Pelodiscus sinensis: one gene and its partner. The protein of the gene in region 2 interacts with the protein of the main gene of each other region in a biochemical or structural test. Links are inferred from orthologs where the notes say so. Each region holds a gene or a part of one and is shown on either strand. Other genes may lie near its edges.

Region 1 (7,776 bases), on a different chromosome or scaffold from region 2:
AATGTTTTAAGAACATTCCAATAATTTCCTCCTCGTTTGCAGCTACATATCACTCACTCAAGAACGGTTTTAAACCGTCTTTCTATCCCGTCTGTGGAACAAGAAAATAAATAATGCAATTTATCCAAACGATTGTTGTTACTGAAAGGGCCTAGCTATTAATTACAGCTAGAACTGCGGAGAAGGTGTGAAAAGGGACAGTTCCACTAGTCATTTTCATCAATCGGAGAGGAGTGCAAACTGCTGTAATACAAATCTTTCAGAGTGGATGAACTGTGTCATCCTAAAGCTGCATCGATCGTTGCACAAATGTAGTTTAACAAGGGGGAAGGAGAGGGGAGAACAGGCTTCGAATTTATTGAGCCAGAAAAGCGATCAAGAGTTAAATTACCTTCATGTGTTTCCTAAGAGAGCTGGGATGGGTGTAAGACTTGTCACACACTTTACAGATATAAGGCTTGTCTGAAGTGTGTACATGCATGTGCTTCTTTCTGTCACTACTGTTCGCAAAGCGTCTATCACAGCCTTCGAATTCACACTTAAAAGGTTTCTCACCTGCAAAATTCAGAAAGGGTTAAAGGACACTACAGAGGAAAGGTTCATTTCGATTCCCCGTTAGCGGATCGATCGCTTTGGCAACTCGCTTACAACAATTACTTTGATGCAGAGGGTGAGAGACTCTCTCTTGGCTTTCGTCCGTAGTCTCACAAACACTTTTCTTCCAATGTCAGCGGAAATACACCAAGCATCAAAACTTTTATTTCTCTTTTTTATTATTTCCCTTCCGCACCTTCCTTTACCAAGCTTCTACCGGTGGAGATAGTATGCACACACACACATCCATACACACACAAAAAGATCAGACAATAGGATTTGTTACGTTACAGTTAAATTCTATCCGTCCTTTGTTACTTTTAATTTGCCTCTTTCAAATGCAACGGTTGTGCTAGGCGAAGTGTTAAAGGCAGACTACCAGTACTTGATGTTAGGATGGGGAGGGCGGAGGGGTACCTACATAAATTCGAGAGCACCACACAGCAGTTTTACAAGATGTAGCCAACAAGACAAGAAAACGTGTGGGTTTCCTGCCTTTCCTAGTTTTACTTTACTTTTGTGGCGCTCTGAATTGAAGACAGAAGCTCCAAATAAAAATACTTTGACAAAAGTATCACTGATTTAATTAGGAGATGTGCCAATCAAGACTAAAAAAGAACGGAAGTAACCGAAAATTAGATTTAATTAGCATTTGTATAGTTTCCTTAACAGAATGTATGCAGACAGCTAAATCGTTTGTAAAGCAATCCACGCTCAATTTTTTTGCTTTGCCTCATTATAAACCCCAAAAAAGAGCCAATAAAAAAAAATCGGACGAAATCTTCAGTCTAGCTAGGTTATGGAGAAATGAGCGATTGGTATCGCTGAGTGAAATTAACACGCTCGTGGAACAGGCGGAGGTTAAAACGACTTAAACCCCCCGAGTGAGAAGTTTTCAAGAACGACAAAGAATACGGCATTTGCCTCCAAGCTCGGGGAGAAGGAACATTTTTCGCCAGTTCTCCAAGGGGCTTGGATCTCACACGATGGTATCGATTGGAAGGGGGGGGATAGTAGGGGGTTTCTTTCCTTCCCACTGTTGAATCATTCACACGCCCCGTTACTTATTTTCCCCCTCTCTCCTTACCTGTATGCGTCCTTTTGTGGATCTTCAGATTCTCGGACCGGGCAAAGATTTTCCCACAGCCTGGGAACGGGCACGGGAAGGGCTTTTCTCCCGTGTGAACGCGAATGTGGTTCACCAGTTTGTATTTCGCCTTGAAAGACTTGCCTTCCCTCGGACACTCCTCCCAGTAGCAGATGTGGTTGTTCTGCTCCGGGCCCCCGACATGCTCCATCGTCACATGGGTGACCAGTTCGTGCATGGTGCTGAAAGTCCGGTCGCAGCTCTTTTTGGGCCGGCTCAGCTGGGTCTCCTCGACCCACTTGCAGGACAGCTCTTGCTTGATGGGCTGGCGCATGTAGCGGAAGAAAGCCCCCGGGCCGTGGTGGTGATGGGCCGCCACGTTCATGCCCATATTCACGTTCATGGGGGCATAGTTGTGGAACTGGGCGCTGGCGTACGGGTCCGTGCGGGGGCTGGAGACGGCCCGGTAGGGGTCCGGCCGCCCGAAAAGATCCCCCCGCAGCCCCAGGTGCATCTGCCCGTTCTCCACGGGCCCGCCGGGGGAGGAATGGCTGGGGCTCTGCTCGTGCAGCCCGGGGAAGAGCAGGTAGCCGGGGCTCTCCGCGATGCCCGGCGGCCCATGCAGGCTGCCGGGGGAGCCGCCGAAGATGCCGTGCTGGGCGCCGCCGGAGGCGGGCTCCCCCAGGCCGGAGCCCCGCTGGCGGAAGAGAAAGTCCCGCGTGGAGTTGAAGGCGGCGGCCGCGCCCCCGTAGGCGGGCACCTGGCCGGCGTGGTGGTGGTGGTGGTGATGGTGGTGGTGGTGGTGCCCCAGCGCGTTGCCGTAGCCCGAGCCCTGCGGGGTGAACGCCGAGCTCTGGCCGGACGAGAGCTCGTGGGCGGCCGGGCTGAGCTTAAAGGCGGCCGCGTGGGAGGCGTCCCCGAAGGGGCTCAGCCCCATCCCGCCGGCGGCGGCGGCGTCGCGGCTCGGCCCCTCGTGGTGCCGCGGGGCCCCGAAGCCCCCGACGCCCAGCGCGGGGAACTGCGGCCCCCCGTCCAGCAGCATGCTCATGGGGCGGGACGGCCGCCGGGCAGCGGCGGGAGGGTCCCCCCGACACAATGGGCCGGCCGCGGGGGGAAGCGCTCCTGCCCCGCGGGCCCCACGCGCGACAGCCCCACGCGCGCCCGCCTCGGGGGGCTGCCCAGCGCCGCGGCCCCCTCCCCAGCTCGGCTGCGCCGCTCCGCGTCCGGCCCACTCGGCAGTGTCCTTGGACTGCTACACTCAATAGCGCTCTCCCCGCACATAAACCAACTCGAGAGGCAGCCCGCGCCCAGCCAATGGGGAGCCGGCTGGCGACGCGTCACCTGACCCCCGGCCGGCCAGCCCATTGGCCGGGCCGCTGGTGAGTGGCAGAGTTTCACAGGGACCCTGGCAGCTCCCGGCCCGGCCGGCTCGCTGATTGGCCCGCGCGGGTTTAGTGACTCGCAGGTAAGGGGTAAGGGGGCCCGCAGCCCACATGGTTTGTTTACTCGCGGTGCCCGCGGCGCTGGAAGCGAATTGTGCTCCAGCCTCCCCCTCCTAGCCCGCAGCGCCTGCCTCTCAGCCACCATGCGTCCCGGGTTTGCATCCCTCTACCCCCTCAGGTCTATTTACATGTCCCCACTCGGATCCCCCTTTCAGGGTGTCTTCTGCCCCCCACACACGCATACACCCCGTCTGTCTTCACCCAGGTTTTTAAAATATATTAAAAAAAAAAAAAGAAACAACTCAAACCCAAAGCGCAGCGAGACATACCGCAGGGCCAAGCGAGAGATCAAAGGACAGAGATAGCAATGGGGAGGCAACCGTTCGCTGGCTGGCGAGATCCAGCTGCTTAAAAATTGCACCTTGATTGGAAACCGTAAATCTTCCGCGCTATTAAAAAAAGAAAAGGTTTAAAAACGAATCTCCATTAAGGCAGCATAATTCAGAGCTGTTCTGCAAACGTTTACACTGGTCTCTTTTCCTTGGGGGGGGGAGGCGGGGGAAGGGGGTGGAATCAACTGAACAGCCTCGAGTTCAAAGCGATTTTATTTAGGAGTAAATTTGGTGGGCCCTGCTTATGGTTAGCTACCACACACCGTTTCTTTTTCCCCACAAGAAGATGAAAGAAATAAAAAAAAAGCATAAGAGATTATTTCAAATCTTGGGCTGAACAAGATAAAGGGCATAAACCCCTCATGTTCTTAAGCTTAAATGCCGAGGGGTTTAGCTCCACAAACAGTGTAAGTGACTCACTTTTTATCGCTATATAAATTGGTTTAGAAACGTGGAGCAAAGTCTCAATCAATGGTGCCCCTTTTTTGTTTATTTGATTGTGTTTATTTATTGATGGGTTTTATTTATTATTTTGCCGTTGCAAAGTTCTGCCTTGAAATAATTATCAGCTGCAGACAGCCCCATAAATCCGCTCATTTTCTGTTCTGGAAAGCATTTGCAAAGAACGATGGGGAGCAAGAGTGGAAATAAAAGGCAGAAAGAAAGATGGCTGTAATTGTAATATCCTGAGATTTGCTGAGCCCCAAAGTCTGTCTATTGAGCCGGTCTCACAGGACTGCCGCCGTCTCTCTGCAGGAAACATAAAATCTGATCAAGTTCAGAGACGCATTGAGAGACTGCTTCAAGCAGCGCTTTATAACTGCAGCCCTTTCACATCCTTCCCCCCAATCAGCCCCAGGAAAGACTCCACATTCTTTATTTTAGGGTTTGAAAAAAAAGCCACCGATATAAAATCTCCCTCAGTAGTAACACCATCTCCCATCAAACCAATCAAAATTCACACTCCACAGCCATCAAGAACATTCCCAAAGTTGGAAGGTGAGTCCTTTCTGTCTTAGATTATTGCATCTCGAGAGAAAAAAACCAAACAAACAACAAACCCCTCTTGCAATAGAAAAAAAATAGCAGATTTAATGCAGATTTGGAGGGAGGAGAGAGACGGGATCCTGGCTCGGAGGGAACCGCTTGCTTCGGGTTTTGTTTCACACACACAAACACACGTCAACGGGGACTGAATTTGCCTGCACGGGGCACATTCAAAGCTGAGAATCAATGTTAGGAAATAAAACGAACGAGGGGGGATTTGAAAGCTCGGAGAACTACGCAGTTGTTGTTCTTTGTTAGGTGGGATGTGGATAGATGAGGATATGCTGGAGGACTCTGGTGGGTTGGGGGGTCGTGGGAGGAAGTGTGGTAAACCCAGGCCCAGCGCAGGAACCTGCTCCGGTCTTTTCTGGTGGTTCAGACCCAGGCCCCTGGACTCCGATTCATGGCGGAGTGTCTCTCAACCGGCTCAGCAAAGAATATCTAACTTCCCCATTTCGGTGTTTTATGGCACACTGCAAACCGAAGGGATCTTTACGAGTGATGTACCTGGTCTCTTGGACAAGTCAGGGCCCAGATCGGATAATTAATTACCTCCAGCACGTGTTGTGTTGTCTCTGCAACAAAACAAGCATAATTCAATTAGATCATCCGGCGAGTATTGGGTAGAGAAATGCCTGTGAAGTTCCCGACCTGGGGCAAGGAGGGCGAATGGCCTTTTGCTTTTGCAGAAGGCCTCACGTGTGGGTCTCCTCATTGTCTTTAGCCTGAATATGATGTAAAACAACTTCCAGGCGCGCTGCTACTCAGAACGAAAACCCAAGGAGATCTCTGTCCTCGGAGGGGATTTGTGGGTTGGATGGGTGGGTTGGTTCTTTTTTGACCCAGGTGCTCTGAAAGGTTGGATGGGTACATTTATGCAGATGTCAGTTTATGAAATAACTCTGCAAAAGAAAGTGAAGTTCAGAGTCTAGTCCCTTTTGCCAGACAGCTCAATTTATTATTATTATTATTATTATTATTATTATTATTATTATTATTATTATTTTACAGAGGACCTTTTAACACGGAGGGGAGAGGGAGGGAGTCAAACTTGGCTTTCCCCAGGAAAAGCTGGGCTGAGATGGGGAAGGTTTTTGCCTATAAAAATATTAGCTCTTCAAGTGGTAAAAGCGCCACCTTTTCTCAAGAGAAGCAACACGAGCGTGGAAAGAAACCGTGGCTTTAAATGAGCTAGGATTCGCCATTTCTTGAAACTATTTTATTGCTTAGCAGAAGGCAACATTATCAGCACTGACAGGCTGGAGTCTACTTGTAGATCGGGCGACATAAATTAGCCTGTAAATCTTTGCTTTATACGTTTCCCGGTTCTACTCTGCCGGGTCTAGAGCTGTGTGTGGAATAATGAGTGTATGTATCTAAAATAGTGCAGATGGACTTGTATTTTATTTTGATTTGGTTTATATTTGAAACGAAATAGCCAGTAATTACACAAATGCCATGTAAAAGCGGGTTCTACTCTATTTTTTCCCTTTTTGCAACTAAGCCCCCATGATGGGGGGCGGGTGTGTTTTTTGACAAGTTCACGCAATAGTGGTTTTGATTCAGTGCAGCACAGAACCAGTCCAAGATTCCTCGTGTTTATTTCGCAGAGCCAGAAAGGTCAAATACCTCTCACCTTTAAATCCATTAAATATAAAAAGTGGGGGGGGGGGGGGAAAGAGCATTGTGCAGTCGTCATCCGGTGTTTTGTGTCGGAAGGAACAGACTAGGCGGAGATCAGGATTCTAGTTTTACGTCCAACGCGTGTTTGTGTAATTTGCCCCTTTGGGGGGGTTATTTTCAAATCTGGGATGGAATTGGAATTTTGACACTCTCCAAATCCGAAAGCCCCCTTCAAACAGCAAAGCGCCTTTCCTTCCTGCGAAGGATCCCTGATTTATTTCCATACAGGATTCTTTGGTTATACAGGGAGGGAGGGGTTTTCTAGCTAAATTCTTGTGCCCCCGGACACAACGTTCGCCTTGCTGTAGAATGCACACCAGACCTAGGATCGTGTGTGGTATGTGAAAATGACCAAAAGTGGTGTTTTCTTGACTATAAGTCTCATTTTCTCGCTCTTACTCCAGCACAACTCCCATTAAAGTTTCTGGGACTGTTGCCTGAGTGAAAACTGACTAGATGCTCCTCACAGTAATGTCAGGCAAAAGGCAAATTTCCCCAAGTCATTTCTTTCCCTGTAAAGATCATTTCTCTGTGGGGCTTTTCAGGTGAAGTTTCTGTATTGATCTCCCATCAGTTCTGCGCGTGCTTAAAAGCTAATCGCTGGGTTATACTGGAAGTTTATTTTTTTATGGCCGTATAAAGACTTTTTGTTTTAAAACTGCAGCCCAGATAGAAAGGCAAATATTTTACGAGCGCTAAATTCCTTTTACAATGCAGTCTATCATAGACAAATGGATATCACTAATAAGCGGAAAGGAACGTAGTTTTTCTTCTGCCATAACCATATTGCAATTCCAGTGTAATTAAATGCAAACCAGAAGCGAATGAGACATTTTCATTGTAACTGTCAATCAGTCGAGGGGTAATCACATGTACATTTGAACTTCAGAGATACCGGCTGAAGTAAACAGGTCTGAACTTCGACAAAGAAAAGGGTTCAGAAAATCAAAGTGCAGAAAGAGGCAGGAAGAAATACTTTAATGTATCAAAAATGTGGGTGGGGGGGGGAGACACGATTTGTGTTTATAAAAAAAATAGAAGTGTGTAGGAACTCGCTTGCTCCGAGGACTATAATGATTTAATTAAATTGAATACATGTCTGGGATGAATTGTATGCTAGATCCTAGATAATCAAAAGCGATAGTAAGGTGAGCAAATGTCTCTAATAAGCATACAGAGATCGCTAAACTGCTAGAGTGATGCTTGGGAAGAACAGTGGGGAGATACTGCAAATAAAAGTAGTGGGGAATTCTTGTTTGTTTGCAATATCTTTTCCTGTATTTGGCTTCTCTGGGCAAAGTTTAGGTTCTGTTTTAATTCACGAAGGAACAAACCCGGGTTAAAATAACTGGGGGTTCAGTAGGGTTGGGAAATCTGCAGGCTATTTTTCAATTTTACTGAATACCAAAATTAATACATAAATAACCCCAAGGGTTCTTCTTTCCTTTCCAAAACCAGAGCTCTCAAAGCCAGAATAATTCATAACATACAGTCGGATTCAGTCAGAGAATCCCAGGCCACTTTCTTTCTC
Region 2 (7,829 bases):
GCTTAAGGCAGGACTACTCAACATGTGGCTCGTGGGCCAAATGCGGCTTATGGCCTGTTTGTTTGCGACCCACGTTGCAGTTTGGGTTTACACAGGGCTCAACACATGGCCCGCAGGTGGGAGCCAAAACAAAAAGTAGTCAATATAATGGTCTTCTGTTGGTATGCATTTTAGTTGTTACATTCCTGGACTGTTATTGCTCATTGAATGTGCTGTCATATGGGTAGAAATTGGGTAAATATTGCATTTCATTAATATCAGCAGAACTAAGTTAAATGGGGCTTGCATGTTGTGTAGTCTTGCCATGTATATGCAACCACATGTAAGTAGTAGCCCTCGACATGTGCTGTATCACTGTGGCCTCTGGGTTTTCCAAAGCTGAGTAGCCATGGCTTAAGGGATACCATCAAGTCATTCCAGTCCCCAAAATAGATTTTAGAAAACTTTATTAAGGCAAAAATGTTTTCATTACATTAAAAATAAGTGAGACAATACTTACATTTTTTAAAAAATAAACATTTATCAGTAGTGCTGGGAACTGACACAGAGCCACTTTTTGCAAGCAAAGGAATTTGAGAAAGTGAAACTGAACCTAACAATCACATTGACCCTTAGAAGTTTAGTGAAATGCATAAAATAAAAATAAATAAATTACCTTGTGGAAATTAACTTAGACTTGTGTAATTCTTGTAATTTTAATTATCTGAAATATTCCACTATATGTGGCTCTCTCTTTCTCACATTCATGGTATTGCCAACCCACTGTGGTTAAAAATCATGAGTAACCCTCTCTCCCCAGTCACAAGACTAGTTTAAAAGTATGAGACAAAACAAATAATGTTTGGAGTTCTTTTTATATGTTTACTGCTTTTTGAGCTTTTAGGGTGTGCTTAGACCACACTTTCAAGCTTTGACCTAGAAATATGAATGTGAGAAATGTATTTTTATTTAAATGAAAGCTGAGATTCTCATCTAATCACAGAATTTCAAGAGCTGGGTCTTTTAGAAAAGCATCAAATATCATGCAACCCGCACTAAAAGAGTGAGCAATACTTTATTGTCTACCCCCAAAAGTTAAAAAATCGTGAGTCAGAAAATCAGAATGGTTCAGAAATCGTGACATTAAAAAATTGTTTTTTGGTCTGCCTTCTGATTTTTGAACTTCCATTGCTAACTGCTAACGTAGTGTTGGAATTGCTAGGGAGCAGGTGCTTGATGAAAAGGAGAGAGGTGCTGGGAACTCTTGAATGGTTAACAGTTACTTGGAACACTTGGATGGCAGGTGAGGCACTTCTGAAAGTTAGAGGGTCCCTGGGAGATGGGTTATAGTCAGTATATTCAGGGTTTGGAATGGGGAGAGGGTGGGAAGAGGATTCTGGTGCAGCAAAATGTGTGGGTGTAAAAGAGCCTGAGGTTACAACTGGGACTCTCATCTTCAGCCTTTGCTGCCATAGTGCCTTGCTTCTCTTGGCTTCTATGTCCTGCCTTGATCCAACAGGGGGAGCAGCAAGAAGGAAGGCAGCTTTTGATGCACTTCTGAATGTTTGAGTTTTTCACAAAACTAGATACTTGGTGGCAGCCCTGAGTTCTAATGGCGCCTTATTACCAAGAAGTGGTTGGCACTGATGGCACAGAGATGGAAGTTAACATTGACCCACTGACCTAATCTGCATGAGGCAACACTTGCTCCTGAAGGAATCATATGGATGAATTTCTCAGTGCAGGTTTTATCAATAGGGTAATGCAACCCCTTAGTAATGATTTCTTATTAATATAATATTTTTATCTTGCCACTACTTCTTTAAAGTATGAATTCTCTAAAACAAAAGTGAAAAATCTTCAAGAAGGAACCTCCTTAAACAAATCTGCCCATTTTCATTTTGTTTAGCTGAAGGGCCTTGGATGTCCTAAGCTTCTGTTAGGTATTTCATTGTCAAGGTGTTGAAACATTTACAATACATTTCAAATAGCAAATGTCACCCCCTCGCCTTCATTTTTTCCCCTTTTTTTGCTCAGTGTGACCTATTCAAAGAGGCAAAGGCAGAAAGCCTGGTTGTTTCTTTGTTACTCCTCTTCCTTCAATATTTTCAAGTCTCGGAGATGTATCAGAAGTCTCTTTTTTCATAAGCAGAAGTCAAAACACTCAGATTCCTTTTAAGTTTTTTAATTTCTTAGTTGTCTTAATGAGAGAGCACTTGTGATTTGAGGGAGCAAGGGTTTGGGGAAGCTGAGAGAGATGCTTTGAAAATACTCAGTGTGGGTGAGCATAGTAAAAGATGAAATATTATTTTGTGGCATAAGAAATTGTTCAGATTTACAGTAAAGATGAGTCCAACTAGTTCAGAAGTCAACTATTGTTTTCAAGAGGAGCTGTGATTTAAAAAGACACCCTCATTGCTTAATGTGTGCCAGAGATTGCCTGTGCACCGCTAGGCTTGGCAGTTCAGAACCTGGCACCACTGGATTTGTTGCATCAGTTATGAATTAAAATAACAAAAACAAAACAAAACCTTTTGGAGCCCCTGAATCTATTTGCTTGAGCCCCAGCATCTTTTTAATTAGATATTAAGCACTGCACACCCTCAATTTAAAATATATTTGTCTCAATATTTTTACTGGCTATTGTTACAACTAACATCTCAGATTACTAGGCCTGAGATTAGATAAAGCACATTTTTCTCATTAGTTTCTCTTTGTTTGATAGTACTTTGTGGATAGTTAATCAGTTTCCCCTTTGGCTTCTGAGGATATTTCATGTAGAAACAGGGGAGAGAAAAACATTATTTACAGGAAAATGTGATTATAAAACCACCAAAAAATGACATGGATAGTTAAAAGACACATGTAGAATCTGCAAAGACTCTTAATTAATTTTAATTTATTAGAGCTTAATTTGACTTTGTTCAATTTTAAAATATAAAAAATTCTAAAGCGTGTAAAAAAAAAGAGTGATTAAAATAGGCTTCTAGCAGCATTTCTTACCTGTCATATGTCACATTATTACCATTATAGTGTCATGTGGCAACTGAATTTTTCCCACATCACAACAAAGAAGTCATAACTACTAGAAACGTAAGGGCATGTGAATGCCTGTTCTCACTTGCAGGTGATATTGTAACAAAAAGCAGACTGCATTATCTTTTTCCAAATTTAAACAAATTTGTTTGAGCAATTGGCTGAGTAAGAAGTAGGACTGAGTGCACTTGTAGGTGCTATATATTAACATTGTTTTATTTTTGAATGCAGATTATTTTTGTATATAATTCTACATTTGTAACTTCAACTTTCAGAATAAAGAGAGTGCTTGTATTAAATATACTGAAAAATACTATTTCTTTTATATTTACAGTGCAAATATTTATAATAATATAAAGTCATCACCATACACTTTGTATAGTGTTATAATTCACATCAATGTATTTAAAAACATGGAAGACATCCAAACATTCTATATGAATGGTATTCTATTATTGTTTAAGAGCATGATTAAGTGCACAATTAATCGTGATTAAATTTTAACTACACAGTTAATCGTGATTAATTTTTAATTGAATGATTAATTGAGATTTTTATTGGCTTGGCATTCTTAGCACTTAAGCATATGCCTAGCTTTAACACTGACTTCAGTGAGACTCGTTGTGTCCTTAAGCATCTTGCTGAATCAAGATCTAATCAAGAGTGAATCTGTTGAATCAGTTGGTAATCAGATTATGGCAAAAGGAGCAGATGAAAGGCTAAGTATTGGACTATATCATTTGGTATACATCATGATGTATACATTTAGTCCTAGTCTGGGGAGAAAAACTAAAGAAAAGTGGGACAAAAAGTTCAAAAGCGGGTTTTTACAGGGAGAAAAGGACCAATACAGGAGAAGGAGGCAGTATTTCCAATTCTTATGAGCTTTGATATTTTTTCTTGCAGCTCCAGGTGCCAGAGTCATGTGATTTCTGGAGACTCTCAATTTCAATTGAAAAAGTTTCCAGGCTATGTGAGAGTAGAGCTAAGCCTGTGAATGTGAATCCCGAAGGCCCAAATGCCAAAAAGTAAATACAGAGAACGCCTCAAATTTGTTGTTGTTTTTTAAACCCTTAATTCTCTTGTGGAGGTTAAACCCATGAGTTTTGAATGCTCTGAGAAGGTGTGAAGACAGTGGGAAAGAGAGGGTAAAATGTGAGGGCCAGATAAAAAAGAATAGGAAAGGCAAACAAGTGAGCCTTTCTGACCCGGACTGAGAGCTGTGCACAGACTGAAGGGTGGGAAGGGAAGCAGACAGCGTAACAGAAGGTAGAGAGGAAGATGAAAAAGAGAGAGAACCTGATGCCAGAGTGAAGGAAGGGGGAAGTGGCTGAGTGAAGGCACCAAACCAGATTCTCCCCTTCCCTCCCAGCTATGGGTGTGGCCTCCTGGTGTCTGAGCTGAAGCCGAAGGTTTTTTTTTTGGGGGGGGGGGGGGAGGCTAAAGTAAAAGGAGGGAGGAGAAGAGGGGACATAAGATTGAGAGCGCGTGTTTGTGCTGCTCCCGGCTTCTCATTCACCCAGCACTGATCAGCACACCCGCCCCACATGCCCCCTGCTGACTTCGGTCGCTCCGGTCTCCTCCGCGAAGGAATCCCACGTTCCCCAGTGGCCAGGCGGAGGGGAGCGGGTGACCCTCGCGTTTGTAGCCCTTCCAGCAGGCAAATCCAAAGGGGGGACCCTTTTCCCCGCGCCAAAAAGTTGAGTGTCCCCGACCCGCCCGGCAGGGGGTGGTGGGGGAGCCCCAAAGTTGCCTCTTTCCCCCGAAGGTCATTCCCCTTCCTCTGGTGCAGAGTGGAGAATTGAAAGGGAGAGGGGGGAGGCGGGGTTGGTGGTGGAGAAGAGTCCAGCAACATCTGTAAAACTTGGACTCGAAGGAGGAGGAGGAGGAAAGGAGCGAGGCAGAGAGGAAGGCAGAAGGGACAACTTTTCCAACACGTGAGTATCGGAGCAGGGGTGTTTTTATGGCCCTCCTTGGGTGGACTTAAAAAGAAAAGCTGCGGTGCGATTGACATGGGGTTTTTTTTGGGGGGGGGAGGGGGGATGGAGGGGACTTCCGATGCAAGTTTTTGCTCCAGCCTGGTAGATTCTCTCCCCCGCCTCTTCCCCGCGCCTTTGTTGAACCAAATCAGAAATGTCAGTCCGGGCGAGTGAGTCAGAAGGGATCAGATTACAAGATCACTGAAACTGATGTCGGATCCGCGCGCACACAAACGGAGCGGGCTTCGCTCCTTCTCTCTCCTGCAGGGAGGAGGGCAGGAATAAAACAAGCACCAATACAAACACACACACGCAGCCCGGCCTCTTCTCTCCCAAGCCGCTTCCCTCCCCCCCCCCCCCCGCAAAAAAAAATCCCAGAAGCAAAATGCCCGCTTTCATCCTTTGGGGTCGGTCCTGTTAAGCTTTGCCAGAGGAGAGAGAAAGAGAGATCCCCTCTTGCAGGCACGGTGCGGGGGAGCTCCAGCAACCCAACCTTGCCTATGGGAAGTTTGGGGGGCTTGGCAGAAGCAGCGGCAGCCGCAGCAGGTATGTGGACTGAGTTTTGCAAGAAGTTCTTCTTTGTTTACGGGGCTGTGCGCAGTGTGTGCCGAGAAGCCAGAGGGTTGGGGGGCACTGTATTTTCATTTCCGAGCTCATTCGCGCGCTCTCTTTTTAACTCGGACGGGAGGGGAGAGGGAGGCGATCTGAGATCTACCCCCAAAAATGGCTGTCAAACTGTCCTTAACTTTAAGCAAAACAAAAAAAAGTATGCAACAATATGCAAGTACTCTCTCCCCGGCCCCTCTCTCTCTGTGCCCTACTGCACTCCGAAAGGATTTTGAGGCTTACTGTCCCACCGTTGAACTGCAGATTTGCATGCAGCAGCTGCTTTCTTCCCAAAAGAAGCTGCTTGTTATTTTGCGTGCCAGTTTCTTTGGCTGCAACTTTGTTGCTGTAGCAAACACCCCGTCCTGTCTGGAGAAGTGCAAGGATTCGCTGGGGGGAGAGGGAACACTTTAAGTGTTAGTTTTGGGGAGAGAAAAAGGCGGTTCGTTTTCTATTATGTTTTGATTAACCTGGTGGCGTTTCAGGGGAAGGTTTGGAGGTAGGATGAGGCGCCCCGTTCATTCATAACGGAGGCAGAGTGAAAGTTATGCCCTTTCTGTGTGATTTTGTTGTGACTGCTGCCTTTGGAACTTGGGTAACTTGGGAAGCTGCATATACCAAACTGCTGAGCTCTGTACACCCTCTACAACTCCCCCTCCCTCTCTTCCTCTTTCCGACCCCCCCCCCCCTTCCCTGCTATGTATGAAGAAAAATATTACGGGGGAAGGGTTGAGTATGAATCGCTCCCGACAGTTACTGTCTCGGCTTTTTTGGAGGGGAGGGGGTATGGAGAAGAGGAAGAAAACACATATAGGATTTGGTCCGTACTAGAACTTCTGCGTGTTCTTATAGCAAATAACTTTAAAGCTTTAGGAAAGTGGATACGCTGTTGTTTTAATTAGCCTGTAAACTTAGGTTGTTTACACAGTTGCTCTTCTTCCAACCCAGCTGATATAAACACACACACACACACACACACACACAAATGTGCAGCTTCCAAGTCCAGGCACCACGTGAAAAGAAAAGGTGAAAGGAAATCCCCTCCACTGCCCCTCCATTTTTTAACCCTCTGGTGTATAGTTTTGAGCTGGTCCTTTGGGTCCAGTGTTTGTGGCCTTCTGCCAGTTTATATGTAGATATATTTATGTAAAACATTTTCTCTCAGCTCTTTGCCAGCTGTTCCACATTTTCCAGCTGCCACTTCTGTTTGACATGATGGACTGTATGGATCTCAAAGTAAAAGCGCCTTTTTAGTCAAAGGTATGGATGGTTGTCCACTTGGTATATAATGTTTAAACTCTCATTAAGCAGGGGAGTGCTAGCTAGTAATGCATGCCATGCGCCACACTTTATTTTCCAGGGTTAATAAAGGGTATTTTTTTTATTTTGAAGTTTCATCATGCTTATTTAACTTCATTTATGTTGGATCACAGAAGAACTCAAATATAAATATGGTTCAAAGCCTTTGAAATATGTGGCTAATTAAATTAACAAACCTTTTTAAGACGGCGCCAGAGTCTCTCACTGTCTGTGTCTATATGCCTGATATATATGTATCTATATGGGAACAATTTAAGTCTCTTTAATACTTAGAAACCATTACAGTTCTTTGTGTTATACAACTCTTTATGGTTCAGTATTTTGGGAGATTATGGACAGAAATCCACAGGAACGAACGGGCCTTAACATATTTTGAATATTTGTGCAATTGCTTTGTAATTTTGAAAGGTACCTCTCTGATTGATTCCTATAATTATTTCATTTAGGTCCTTTATTAAAAATTAATAATGAGCTGACAGTTTCTTAATTACATATGTCAAGATTATTTTGAAGGAAGAAAAATGCTATGTTTTCAAAGATGGGTAACATAAAAATGAAAAAAAATAGTTCATTAAAATATATCACAGGATTTCTGTTGAGGGATTATATTAAAAGTAATGGTGAATGAATTTAACAATGTAAACTGAATGATGTAGCCTCATAATTGGTTTATGGAGTGAAATGTAAGGCTTAACAAGCTAGTACATAAATACATTTAGTTGGTTAGACTACATTCAAATTTAAAGCAAACATTAAATAACATTATTTGTTTGACAAGGCTACTTTTAATTGAAATATCATTTCTTTTACACTAAAGATCATGTGGTTGAGAAATCTAATGTGTGAGGAAAAGGCACTGTTTTAGTACATACTGTTCTTTAAAAAAAAGCAGTAAAGGAAATAAAACTG

Evidence for each region. The genes of interacting proteins can lie anywhere in the genome.
Region 1: the proteins of GLI3 (region 2) and ZIC3 form a complex in vitro, tested with the Homo sapiens proteins (2 studies listed by BioGRID). The link is inferred for Pelodiscus sinensis from reciprocal best matches to the Homo sapiens genes GLI3 and ZIC3.

What each region holds. Positions count from the first base shown.
Region 1 is NC_134723.1:35,733,517-35,741,292, reverse strand, and holds the start of ZIC3 (zinc finger protein ZIC 3), read right to left. Parts: upstream 3,007-7,776; 5' UTR 2,730-3,006; coding exon 1,682-2,729; intron 556-1,681; coding exon 392-555; intron 1-391. UniProt on the Homo sapiens protein: Acts as a transcriptional activator. Required in the earliest stages in both axial midline development and left-right (LR) asymmetry specification. Binds to the minimal GLI-consensus sequence 5'-GGGTGGTC-3'.
Region 2 is NC_134712.1:165,508,212-165,516,040, forward strand, and holds the start of GLI3 (transcriptional activator GLI3), read left to right. Parts: upstream 1-4,822; 5' UTR 4,823-4,952; intron 4,953-5,207; exon of another isoform or gene 5,208-5,494; coding exon of another isoform or gene 5,495-5,540; intron 5,541-6,765; exon of another isoform or gene 6,766-6,860; intron 6,861-7,829. UniProt on the Homo sapiens protein: Has a dual function as a transcriptional activator and a repressor of the sonic hedgehog (Shh) pathway, and plays a role in limb development.